Sus scrofa: one gene and its partner. The protein of the gene in region 1 interacts with the protein of each later gene in a biochemical or structural test. Links are inferred from orthologs where the notes say so. Each region holds a gene or a part of one and is shown on either strand. Other genes may lie near its edges.

Region 1 (6,233 bases):
TTTTAATGGCCGCACCCGTGGCATAGGAAGTTCCCAAGCCAGGAACTGAATTGGAGCTGCAACTGCAACCTATGCCACAGCTGCAGCAATGCTAGATCCTTTAACCCACTGTGCCACAACAGGAACTCTTAAAAGTATTTTGCATATTGAAATGCAAGCAAAATTTTAATTACACGTAACATTTATTTTAATGCTTAAACTAACAAGTTAGGTTGTGTTTAAATCCTTTAATCAGTAATACAAATCAGGCTCCAGTTTTTTCGGTCGTTTTAGTCCCATACCTGAAGCATATGGAAGTTCCCAGGCTAGGGGTCAAATGAGAGCTACAGTTACCGGCCTACATCACAGCCACAGCAACACCAGATCAGAGCCTGGGATCCTACACCACAGCTGATGGCAATGCCAGATCCTTAACCCACTGAGCGAGGCCAAGGATCGAACCTGCATCTTCAGGGATGCTCGTCAGATTCGGTTCTGATGAGCCACAAAAGGAACTCCAGGATCTTTTTTTTTTTTTTTTTTGGCCACACCTGTGGCATGCAGAAGTTCCTGGGCCAGGGACTGAACCCATGCCACAGCAGCAATCCAGCCACTGCAGTGACAATGCTGGATCCTTAACCTGCTGAGCCACAGAGGAACTCCTAAGAGGGATCTTCTGATGCCAGTTGCCCGGGACACCCAAGTCCCCCACCCAGAAGCAATCAACACTACCAATTTCTCATTAATCCTTTCACCTATACAAACAAATACACGTATCTCCCCAGAAATGGTGGCCTCCTCCCACTATTCTGCACTGTGCTTTTCACACTGATCTGGGAGGCTATATTTTAACAACACACTCCAAGAATGGCCACTTACAACTTCTTAGAGCCAGAATTCAGCAAATGTCAGTTATCTTTTCACAAAGGCACTTAAAAAGGCGCGGGGTTGGAGAGGAGTCCTTAAACCATTCCTAGTAAGCACAACCATATGAAATAAACTTTAGTAAAATGAAGATTTACATAGGTGACATGAGGAAATACTTGACTATCTGACAAGCCATTCAAATATTGCCTTTACATACATTAAAAAAGAAATACATGGACTGTATTATAAGTTCTTCAATGAGTTGAAAATAATATAATCCAATTATAGAACTGGGCTTATTAAAATATCAATGAAATAAAATATTGGTGAAAATAAAACTATTTATTGGTTATATTCCAAAATTAAATTACCTGACCCTTTTCTAAATGTTCTTTGCAACTTACTTTCTGGAAGATGTTTCCTTTCAGATTTATAAAGGCACTCTTGTTAAAAAAATAAAATGTTTGTATTTTCTACTTTCTTCCTCTGAAACACTTACTTGACAGCAAGATTTCATCATCCCTTACATGTAATTTTAACAATATGCATTACTAAAGCAATACAAGATTTCTTTTAAGCTTCAATTTAAGTACTAAGAATATTGTGAAAAGTCACCTCACAATATGCAATCAGATCATATGAATTACGAGAACAGTACTTACCACTTTTAAGTAACAGAAAATAAAGCGTTAAAATCTTATATTTCAGGCTTGTACAACCATATTAGAGAAATGTTTTAGGCTACTAGCAATATTACCCGCAATCTTCTATTAGGAATATATATGTCAACTATCCTGGAATATATTTTCTTATTAAACAAGAATTTAGAATCATTGTTTCATTGTATTGTCAGTACAAGCATTTATGACTCTATTTCTACAATGTACCACAAAAATACAAAGTCATCCTTCCATTCAGAGTTTTGGCACCTGAACAAATACAGAGGTCAGAGTTCATACACATGCTCGGTAAAACCAATTATTACTCACATAACTATTACATTCAATAAATCTGCTGGTGTTTGGCATTTTTTAGTAATTTTAAAGAATTTTCTGCAAGTCTAATTGGAAAGACTCGGTGGCACAAATATAGTTCAAGTGCTATCAGACTTATATCCAGAATTCATCACATACTTAGAATGCTAAATTTCACAAATCACTGAGCTCGTCAAAGTATTGATATAAGAGAAAAACACATATAGTAATGATACTTTCAATAATGGTGTGTGATATTTTGAAAATAACCATTCAATATGCTCAATCTTTCTTTGTTGAATCCAACAAGGAAAAACAACCTAGCATTCTCGTTGATTTGGGTATGAAAAATTACACTGATTCATAATTGAGTCAAATTACTAAATTACTAAAACATTTAAAACATATTAATAAATGTGGCCAACACTAGAGTGTTCTACAGGACTCAAGAGGAGCTTGAGACAAAAAAACTTTTTAATCCTTTCAGATAGATGTTGGGATAAGGAGATATAACAATGTATTTATTAATCTGCTGAAATGTCATGTTTAATAAGGAGATATAACAATGTATTAATCTGCTGAAACCTCATGTTTTTTTTAATAGCACTGTTTTTCAATAGTAAGAATCAAGTTAACTATGAGGGACATCATAATGAAGTTTCATGGCACAACACAGCAGTGTCACAGAGGCAATGTCTTAAAACAGACTCTGATCTGTAACTTGTAAACATTTTAAAATAAGCTACTCATACACTCCATTATATGTCCTAATCCCAGCTATAAATATTTAAATGTCTTTAACACACCAAACAACCTGCCTTTACCTAGTCAAAAAGCTTTAGGTGCCTACAAAAAAGAGGCCTAGGATTTGGGGGTAAGTGGAAATGAGATAATTCTCTAACATGGAATTAATTTCCTATCTCAAGTGGCAATGCCCTTATCCCCCACTTAAACAATATAGACAGTACCCCATTATGTCTTGCTCTCTCTTCCAACACCCAACTAAAAGGGAGTAACTCTGAACGGCCTTCTTTCATCAATACCTAGGAACTCTCATCGCTCCTTCCCTAAGGAAAGGACAGCGGCGGCCAGATCGGCTACAACCCAGAATACCCTTAAAAGTGAGGGCCTTTGAGCAGCGCAGCTCTCGGGATCCAGTTACCACCTTTCCCCTTCCCCCAACCTACTTCCCGGGTTTTCTCAGGCTCGGCCTGCTCACTCCCCACCCTACAACCACACTTCCAGCTGTTGCCACTATCTAGGGGCTCTTTCAAGAGCTCACACCCCGCGTCTAAGCGCCCCCTTCTCCATCTGCCCCCCCCAATCTGATTCCTCTCCAGATCACCCGCCCGCGAGACCGTCCATCCCAGGGCCCTGGAAGGGGAGGGGAAGGCGGCGGAAGGAGGGGGAGACTGCTGCTTCCCCACAGGCAGAAGGGCGGCCGCAAAGAGGGCCACTCGGGCGTTACTAGGGATATTGGGGACGCCAGTGGAAGGACCCTCCCGCCATGGGCTGAGGTGGGGGACGTTCGGGAGTTCATTTCTGACCTCCTCGCTCTTCAGCACCTCCTTGAACTCCCGCTTGATTCGCTGCACCGCGATGTTGGCCATGTCTCCGCCCGCAGCTGATTCGTACCCGCCTCCTCCGCCACCGCTACGACCACCGCCACCGCCGCCACCTCTTCCTCCACCGCCTCCTCCCTCGGCGATTCACACCAGAGCACACGAACGCTGCCACTGCCACTCCGGCCGCCGCGCTCTCCTCAGTGTGGAATCACCTCCGCGCCCGGCCACCAAAATGGCGCCAGGTCCGCGCCTGCGCACGACGCTGACCTGACCGGGCGGCGCAGCCGCTCCCGTTGTAGCCCCATACGCCTCAGCTGCGAACCCGCGCCGCGCCGCCCCGCGCCGCGCGTCTCTGCCCGAGCTGCGGCCGCGTGGCTCCGCCCTGCCGGCGTCTGAGGCCTGGAGGGTGCGGCTTCCGCGCTGGTCAGCGCTGCCCCGGCCTCCTCGGTCCTCTCAGGCGTCTCTGCCCCTCTTCGAACCAGGTGTATGGTCCAGGCTTCCAGACCGTGGCCTGTAACCGAAGGTTCGAGTCCAGCCTGACGGGTTCACGCGGCTCCACTCGGTTTGGAGCGCCGCCCTGACTCAGCCAGACCCAGAACCCACAGGCTTAGTGTGCCTGCCTGTGTTTAGTGTCTGAAAACACTGTCCTGGAATTCAGTCTGGCCTATTTTTTCTTGGTGTAGGCCCGGCAAATGCACTGAGGTTCATTTTTGTTATGAAGCTCTTACGGTGCTGCTATTACTACGATCATTCCAGGATCTTAACAGGTACAACAAATTATAAAGTTAAGTATGGGTCTCATCAATTTTATTTGAGACCAGTACTCCATGGAATTTAGAAGCCAGGTGTTGATCTTTGACCTGCTTAGGTAATTAATACCAAGCCCTGGAACTAAAACCATAGTTTTGGAACTCGAATGTACATTAGGATCCCTGAATAACTTGTTAAAAAATAAAAAGAAAACGGATTGCTGGGCCCCATTCCTAGAGTATAGGGTGGGCCTAATAATTTGCATTTGTAACAAGTTCCCAGATGCAGCTGCTCCTGCCGCTGCTTCTGGAGCCACACAGTGGGAACCACTGAACATGTGAAAATAGTTTATATATTAAAGTGAAAAATGGAGTAGTAGATGTTTCTTGGGCGAGAAGGGCAGCTTTACTTACTTAAACCTAGGATCTACAACTGTGCCTGGTGCCTATTAAGGCCCTTAATAAATATTGAATGAATAAATGAGTAACGATAAGACTAAAATGTTTTAAATGGAAAGTAAATTTGAAAGCGGTTGCTAAAGTTTCCAATAAGTAATATGGTTGTGGATTTGGGGGGGTTTTGAGTGTTTTTTTCTTTTGGCCGAGCCTGCGGCATTTGTAAGTTCCTGGACCAGAGATCGAACCCTCGACATAACTGTGACCCAAGCCGCTGCAGTGACAAGGCCAGACCCTTAACCCACTGCAGCACAAAGGAACTCCTAGGTAATATGGTTTTGATGCTGAGAGGTGCTTTGAATAGAAAACATTTTGTAATAAGTAATTATGTTTATTTAGAAGTTATATTAAAGTCACTTCTTTCACTATGTTTCTAATAGGATACTTTAACCAATCAGTAAAGTATCCTATTAGAAGAATATCACGAAATCACCGTCTCAGCAAAAATTACTGAAATTGTGGCACTGAAAAAGAAAGTAAGCACTTGGAGTGAACCACTCACGGAGGCACTTGGCAAAAATGAACTTATTGAACTACTGCCACGGGAACCAAGAAGGGATTTTTAATTCCAGCTCTCCTCCATTTCAGCTCTCTTGGCCAACCTTGGTTTCCTATTTTGCAGAATAAGGAAGCTGGATAAGATGATCTCTCTCAAGTTTTAAGAGTTCATTATTCTAAAACATCTGGGAAAATTTCCCTGAAGGGACTAACATAAGCTGTAAAACCCTTCCAGCAGAGCCCCCTAGTGGTTCTAAGAGGAACCAACTATACATGTGGGTCGTGGCACAATGAATTACTGGTATAATGAATGCATAAATCGTGCAATGCTATGTGTATTTATGCCGGCACATTAAAAATAATTATTTTGAAGTGTGAAAAATTTTTGAATACCTTATGCTTATCACCTTCATTCAGTCCCCAATGTTAATCTTGGAACTTTAAAGAAATTTACAACACTCAAATCACAAGTGGACTGGTTAGATGGGTATGCTAACTTCTTTGGGGAAGAGATGTTTGATAATTTTTATTTATTTATTTATTTATTTTGGTCTTTTTTGCTATTTCTTTGAGCCACTCCGGGGCATATGGAGGTTCCCAGGCTAGGGGTTGAATCGGAGCTGTAGCCACCGGCCCACGCCAGAGCCACAGCAACACGGGATCCGAGCTGCGTCTGCGACCTACACCACAGCTCACGGCAACGCTGGCTTGTTAACCCACTGAGCAAGGGCAGGGACCGAACCCGCAACCTCATGGTTCCTAGTCGGATTCGTTAACCACTGCGCCACGACGGGAACTCCTGATGATTTTTAAATGCATGTAGTCACTGGCCCTGAAATTCCACTTTCAGTGCATTTTTACATTTTATGAGGCAACCTCATACTGACTGATAGGAGACAATCCTCAAAATACATTTTAAGGGAAAAAGAGCATTGTGCTAAAAGCAATGTGATATCCTGGATTGGACCCTAGAACCAAAAGGACATAACTATTAAAATCTGAATAAATTCTGTAATTTAGTTTATAGTATTGTAGCAATGTTAATTCCTTAGTTTTGACAGGGTACTGTTTAGGTAAGATGCTGACCTTAGAAATGAATAAAGAATATTCAAATTCTCTGAAACTTCTCTGTAAATCCAAAATTA
Region 2 (6,217 bases), on another chromosome or scaffold:
GTCTGTGTTACACAGAATTGTTAAGGAATTGAGCTTACAAAGGAAAAACACATCCCAGTCCTAGGTAGTGGTCCAAAATTCTAGCACCTCATTGGTTTGGATTTGACTAATGACTTTTCACTTTGATTTGTTATCCACTCTATGGTAAATCAAGGGAACAAAAGGTTGGTGAATGGTTTGTGGAAGCTATTTCCCAATTGGCTAGAGTCATGGAAAAAGTAATACACACATTATAATTCCATAAATGCGGATGTCCCATTTGATCTACTGTATTATTTAAAGCCTCACTATATGTTCACTAACCTGAAAGAATATATCCAACCAGCATAACATTTCTAGATTATCATTCCATTGTTAAGCTATTTCTTAAAGCCATTTGATTTTAAATTGTTTATCAAATTATATCAAAAGCAGTAATAGCTGAAAAAGGAACCCTGCCAGACGAAAAGAGGGTGTAACTGCTAAGTAGGTCTCACCTGCTTCATAAAGCAAATTTCCTTTAAGTGTTAACAAAAGTTTTTGATGCAACATAACCTACAGGTTTTTTTTAAATCACAACCTTTCATTTTCTTTGCATTTCCAATATCATCAGATAACAATTAAATCTAGAGATATAAGAGTTTAGTGACTTTGGCATATGACAGACCTGAGTTAAAATGGGGGCTCTACCACTTATTAGCTACTTAATTGAGGACAAATTACCTAATCTCTAAGTCTCAGTTACCTCTGTAAAATAGGTAATATTCTCATGAAGCCTCACTGTAAGGATTACCAAATCATGCATGTGAAGCACAGAACCTAGTATATAAGTAGTCAGTACAAATTAGTTATGAGTCTAGGCTAACTACTCATACCAGGTTGCCTGGAAAAATCCAGGTTTGCAACTGTTGTCCAGGCATAATTATTAATAATGTCCCTTTTGCTCTTAAAAACATCCTAGTTAGGGCAATAAATTATGCAGTTACCTTAATGATGATGAAAGGAGTTAATACTAATTAAAGTACTATATATCAATTATGACTTTGGGTATCTCAAAGGAAAAAAATCGAATACCACACAAAATATGAGATTATATTCTTGTAATATAGTCTGATGGTTCATTTAATTATTCAATAAACATTCAAACACTATTTATTTGTACACATCCCATTCCAACACTGATTTAAGGCAGTAAGTTTCTATCTCGTTCTTTCTCTTCTATACAGGTATTGGTAAACCTCACACATTATTTTAAAAGATGAAAATTCAGATAGAGCACTAGTGAGTTTCAGCTACTCAGGAACACTACTCTTTGAATACCCAGTGAAAAACACTCATTCTGATTATGAAGAATGCCCAACACCAACTAACATGTATCAAATAAGCCCATCCAATTACAGGGCCTGCAAAACAGAATAAATTATTTTTAAACATGCATTCTACACATAAATTATCAGGAGACGCAACAAAAAATAAATTACCTGACTGTTATGACATAGTATTGTAATACAATAAACTGGATTTTAGTTTTCTTCACTCTCTGCTCTAGAAAAAAAAAGAATCCATTATTCTTCCTCTTTGATAAGATAGACATTTTCTTTGAAACAGACACATCCTAAAAAATACATATTCTATATATTTTTAGATACACACACATACATACATACACATACCATAACCCAACCTAATTCAACATCAATATTAGGATATTTGGGGAGACTGAGGTCAGAGGGATATGTTAGATATAAGACTTCCTTTAAAGGTTGAGAGCCAATCTACATTTGATATAAACTTGATTAAAATAGGCTTTTCCTTATCATAACAGTAATTATTTTCGGATACTCATGGTTACTTTCAAGAACTTATTTGGCACACTACACTAGCCTAAGGTAGAAACTAAAGTATGAAAGATTATCCGGACATCTTAGGCTAAAGAATGAAGCATTTTTTTCAGTAAAAGAGTATACTAAATGAAATTTTAAAAAAATTTTAGATTAGTCTTCCTGGGCACTTTATTTTTACAACTTAGAAAACTGATTTTTGGAGAGCGTTAACTGTGCCTGCCTGCTCTCAAGTCATCCAGGACGGACATAATGTACCTGATGGGGTGATATGAGTGTTCTTTAATCACAAAGAATCAAAGAAATGATTTGTAGTAGTACGTTTATTTCTTCCTCCCTTCAATCATCCAAAGCCACTGCGGTTAATTCTGATTCAGGAAATGCGGGCTCCTTATATCCAGCAAAAAATTACTATGGGGCCTTGCAAATAATGGATCACAATGTGATATAAATGCTTCCTCTTGCCCCAAAACGAAAGAATGACCTAAATAAGAAGCCTGCTAGGCCTCAGATTCTCGGACTAACCTGTGGAATAAGTATGGTGAAACTGTCTAGGGAAGGAACGTGGCTGTCTCCTCCATCTTGAAATTAATCAGCATAAGGGAAAAAGGGACTGAGCATTCAGGAAGCAGAAGCCCAACCGGTTAATACTAGTTACTAAAGCTATGGCGTACGTGGCAGGTACCGCCCGCAGAAGCCGAGACCCTTAGGCCTCTTTTTTTTGGGGGGGGGAGGGGTTGAGTTGTTGGCGGATCGAAAGGAAATTAACTTCAAAATCATTTGGCCCAATTCCCACACTCACTCAGGGAAAAACAACAAACACGCAACGGCTTTTCCCTCCCTTTTGGGGGGAATGCTTGCAGTGATATCTGGCAAAGGATACGCCAGGGTTATTTGAGCAAAGGAGTAAACCACATTTGCTTCAGATCCTCAGGGAAGATGGCATCACGGCCCCAGGGGGCGTCTAATTGATAGTGCCCTACAGAAGGGCTCAAAATGGGGTTTTGCAAATCCTGAGAAATCTAAAGGCCCAAGAGCTCTCACATCTAACTTAGAGCAGGCTGATTTTTTGCCCCCATTTCCTAAATCCAAGCCCGCCATGTAAAAGGGAGGGGGGGAAAGAGGCGAGGTAAGTCTCCAGAGGACCGAAGAGAGAAAAACCTGAGACGATCAAAGATTTTCACGCCTAAGGCCAACACTCGAAAATCGCCTCCCCCAAATTCTTAAGGTTCTGAAGGGCTCAGGCTGAGGCTCGCGAGGCCACGGAGAGGAAGTACTACCCATCTCCTTCCCCTTCTTCAAAGAGCCGGTTGACTATACACCCAACTAAAATGGCAGCGGCGACTACGCCACGGAGCCCCCCACTGCAACCGGCGCCTGGGGTCCGCAGGCGGCGCTGACCCTCCGCCACGATGCGCCACTCAGACCATTTTGAGAGAACGCGGCAGTCACAGCTCCGCTGTCTTCTCGCTCTCCATCCATTTCTCGGAGGACTCACTTACTCGATTTTAGTGTCGTGATCCGACTCGGTCGGTTCGGCCGCCGCCGCCGCCGCCGCCGCCGCCGCCGCCGCCCCGCCGCCCCGCCGCCGCCGCCGCCGGGGCTCCTGGGCGCCTCCCCTGCCGCCGCTCTCAAGCCCGCCTCCGATGAGTCGCTGGTTGAGACCCGCCTCTAACCCAGCGCCTGCTCGCAGACGTTGCTCAGGCAGCCATTATCTTCCCCATTGTTACCAAGCAGCGACAGGAAACGCCCGCCCACAACAGGAAGTGATGATGCCGCGTCTAGCCCCGCAGCCCCACTCCCAGCCTGTTAGCCAATCCCCGGCGATTCCTCGAAAAGGCTCGGTGGGAGGAGGAGAGGGACCGCTGACGACGCGGCAAGGCGGGCCACCGCCTGGAAAAGGAAAGCTGCTGTGACGCCCACCATGTGACAAGCCACACCCTCCTCCGCCATTTTGAATTGTGGCGAGAAATTCACGTTCTGAGAATTGTGGGAACCTTTGCTTTCCCATTTTGAAAGCTGGAGGACGTCACCATCTGATTGCTGGAAGCCCTTTTCCGAGAGTGAGAAATGTGGTGTTAGTCTAACCTGACGTCGATTCACAGAATTAGTCCGGGCCTGTTAATACAGCGTCCTACTTTTATTCGACATATATTTATCGAGCGTAAACTGTGTCAAGCACTGTTAGAGATGTTGGGATACAGCGGAAATTAAAGCAGGCCAAAATCCCAGTTTTCGTGGGTCTACTTGGGGAAGGGACAATAGTTACTATATATGTATATGTTACATATGTATAAATGCTAAGGAGAAAAAGCGAGGGACAGTGGTGGGAGAGTGTCACGACAAACAGGAATTTGCGGTTTTAAAAAGAGTGGTCAGAGGTGGCCTCGGATGGTAATTCTGAAATACTTGAAAGGGGGCGGTAATTGTAAAAGGGTGGGAAAATCTGATAACGTTGGAATTTAAGGGCGGTTAAGGAAAGACTTTTCTTGGATACTAATGCCTGAATTGGAATCTAGGGAATAAACTATCCCGCTTCCAACTCCCGCTTTCACAGTTAAAAACAACCGTACCCAGGTCTTTAGGGTGTTTCCATGTTTCTTGTCCCATTTTTCTGTTTTCTTTGTTTTCAGGTAACACTCCAGCTACACTGGCTTTCTCACTACTCTTCCAGCAAACTAAACTTGTTCCGACCTCTACAACTTTATATAGGCTGGAATTTTTCCCTTAATATCTTTGCTCTCATCATCCGAGCCTTTTCTCAATTGTCATTTCCCTAGGGGACACTTCCTTAACCACCCCACCTGAAATTACAACTTCCCTTACCTGCTAAATTTTCTTTAAAGCATTTTGAAATAAATATTTGAAAATATTTGTTTACCTCAACCATTTAAGAACAGTAAACCCCTTTGTTTTGTTCACTGTTTATATCCCCAGTGAGCTCATAGTAGCCCTCAAATATTTTTTGAGACCGTACAGGCCTCAGCATGATGGCCATTTCATCAGCCAGGAATATAAGTGTATTTCACTCCAAGCAGTTAACAACAATATCCCTCATACTTCCCTGCTCAACTTTTCAACAGTCTTGATATTGTCATTTTTAACAGTAGAGGAATATAATTTAGGTGCTGTGTCTCTACTCAGCTTTTGTCTTATGTTCTATAATCATACAATAGAACTTTTACCTAGAATGTGTAAAATGAATTCTTCAGTGGCCAGCAATTGCTCCTAACCTGATACTCAGATTATGGCAGTAGCATTAACCTCTCCTTGACATATTCTTAAGGCAAATGTGTCTTAATGTAAAATATAAAATCATAAAAGAAGTAGAAGAAAATGGAGTTCCCTGGTGACTCAGCAGGTTGAGGAACAAGCGTTGTCATTGTTGTGGTTAGGATTCAATCCCTGGACCAGGGACTTGTGCATGCTGTGTGTGCAGCAAAAAAAAAAAAAAAAAAGTAGAAGAAAACGTAAGTGAATATGTCCATAGTTCTTTGGGGACGTGGAAGGACTTTCTTAGGCATGACACAAAATCCATAAGAGGAATTTCTGTCAAATAGAACTTCATAAAAAAAGTAAAGCTTCTGAATGTCAAAACACAAGGTTAATAAAATTAAAAGGCAAATAATAAACTGAAAAAAAATTTCAGCATGACATATGACAGCTAAGGGGTAGTTCTGGTTTATAATAACATTAAAATAAATGACAAATTGGTGAAAATGCTACATATATGATAACATGATAAGCATGTATGGCTAATATCACTACAGCAAGTCCCCAGTTTACAATGGTTGGACATACAATATTTTTACTTTACCATGATGCAAAAGTGATATGCATTCAGTAGAAACTGTACCTCAAATTTTGAATTTTGCTGCAAATGGCATTATTTCATTCTTTTTATGGCTGAGTAGTATTCCATTACATTTATGTACCATGTCTTAATCCATTCATCTGTCCATGGATGTTTAGGTTGCTTCCATGTCTTGGCTATTGTGAATAGTTTCTACAGGCTAGCTCTACACAGAATGATACTTTCTAGTGATGCTGGGCATCAGCAAGGAGTTGCAGTTCCCAGGTGGCTACATCAAGAGGGTAAACAACCAAGACACTGGTAACAATTCTGTACCCACACGACCATTCTGTTTTTCAGTACAGTAGTCAACAAATTACATGAGATACTCATCATTTCCTTATAAAATAGGCTTTGTGTTAGATGATTTTGCCCAACTGTAGGCTAATTTAATTGTTCTGAGCATGTTTGAGGTAGGCTAGGCTAAACTATGGTGTTTGGCAGGTTAGGTGTATTAAATGTATTTTCCACTTAGGATATTTTCAACATATGATGGATTTCTTAGAATGGAACCCCTTTGTAAATCGAGGAAGATCCGTAGTCT

The links. The genes of interacting proteins can lie anywhere in the genome.
Region 2: the proteins of UBE2K (region 1) and RLIM form a complex in vitro, tested with the Homo sapiens proteins (2 studies listed by BioGRID). The link is inferred for Sus scrofa from reciprocal best matches to the Homo sapiens genes UBE2K and RLIM.

Annotation. Positions count from the first base shown.
Region 1 is NC_010450.4:30,885,191-30,891,423, reverse strand, and holds the start of UBE2K (ubiquitin-conjugating enzyme E2 K), read right to left. Parts: upstream 3,431-6,233; coding exon 3,368-3,430; intron 1-3,367. UniProt on the Homo sapiens protein: Accepts ubiquitin from the E1 complex and catalyzes its covalent attachment to other proteins. In vitro, in the presence or in the absence of BRCA1-BARD1 E3 ubiquitin-protein ligase complex, catalyzes the synthesis of 'Lys-48'-linked polyubiquitin chains.
Region 2 is NC_010461.5:59,916,791-59,923,007, forward strand, and holds the start of RLIM (E3 ubiquitin-protein ligase RLIM), read right to left. Parts: upstream 3,675-6,217; 5' UTR 3,323-3,674; intron 1,525-3,322; exon of another isoform or gene 1,461-1,524; intron 1-1,460. UniProt on the Homo sapiens protein: E3 ubiquitin-protein ligase.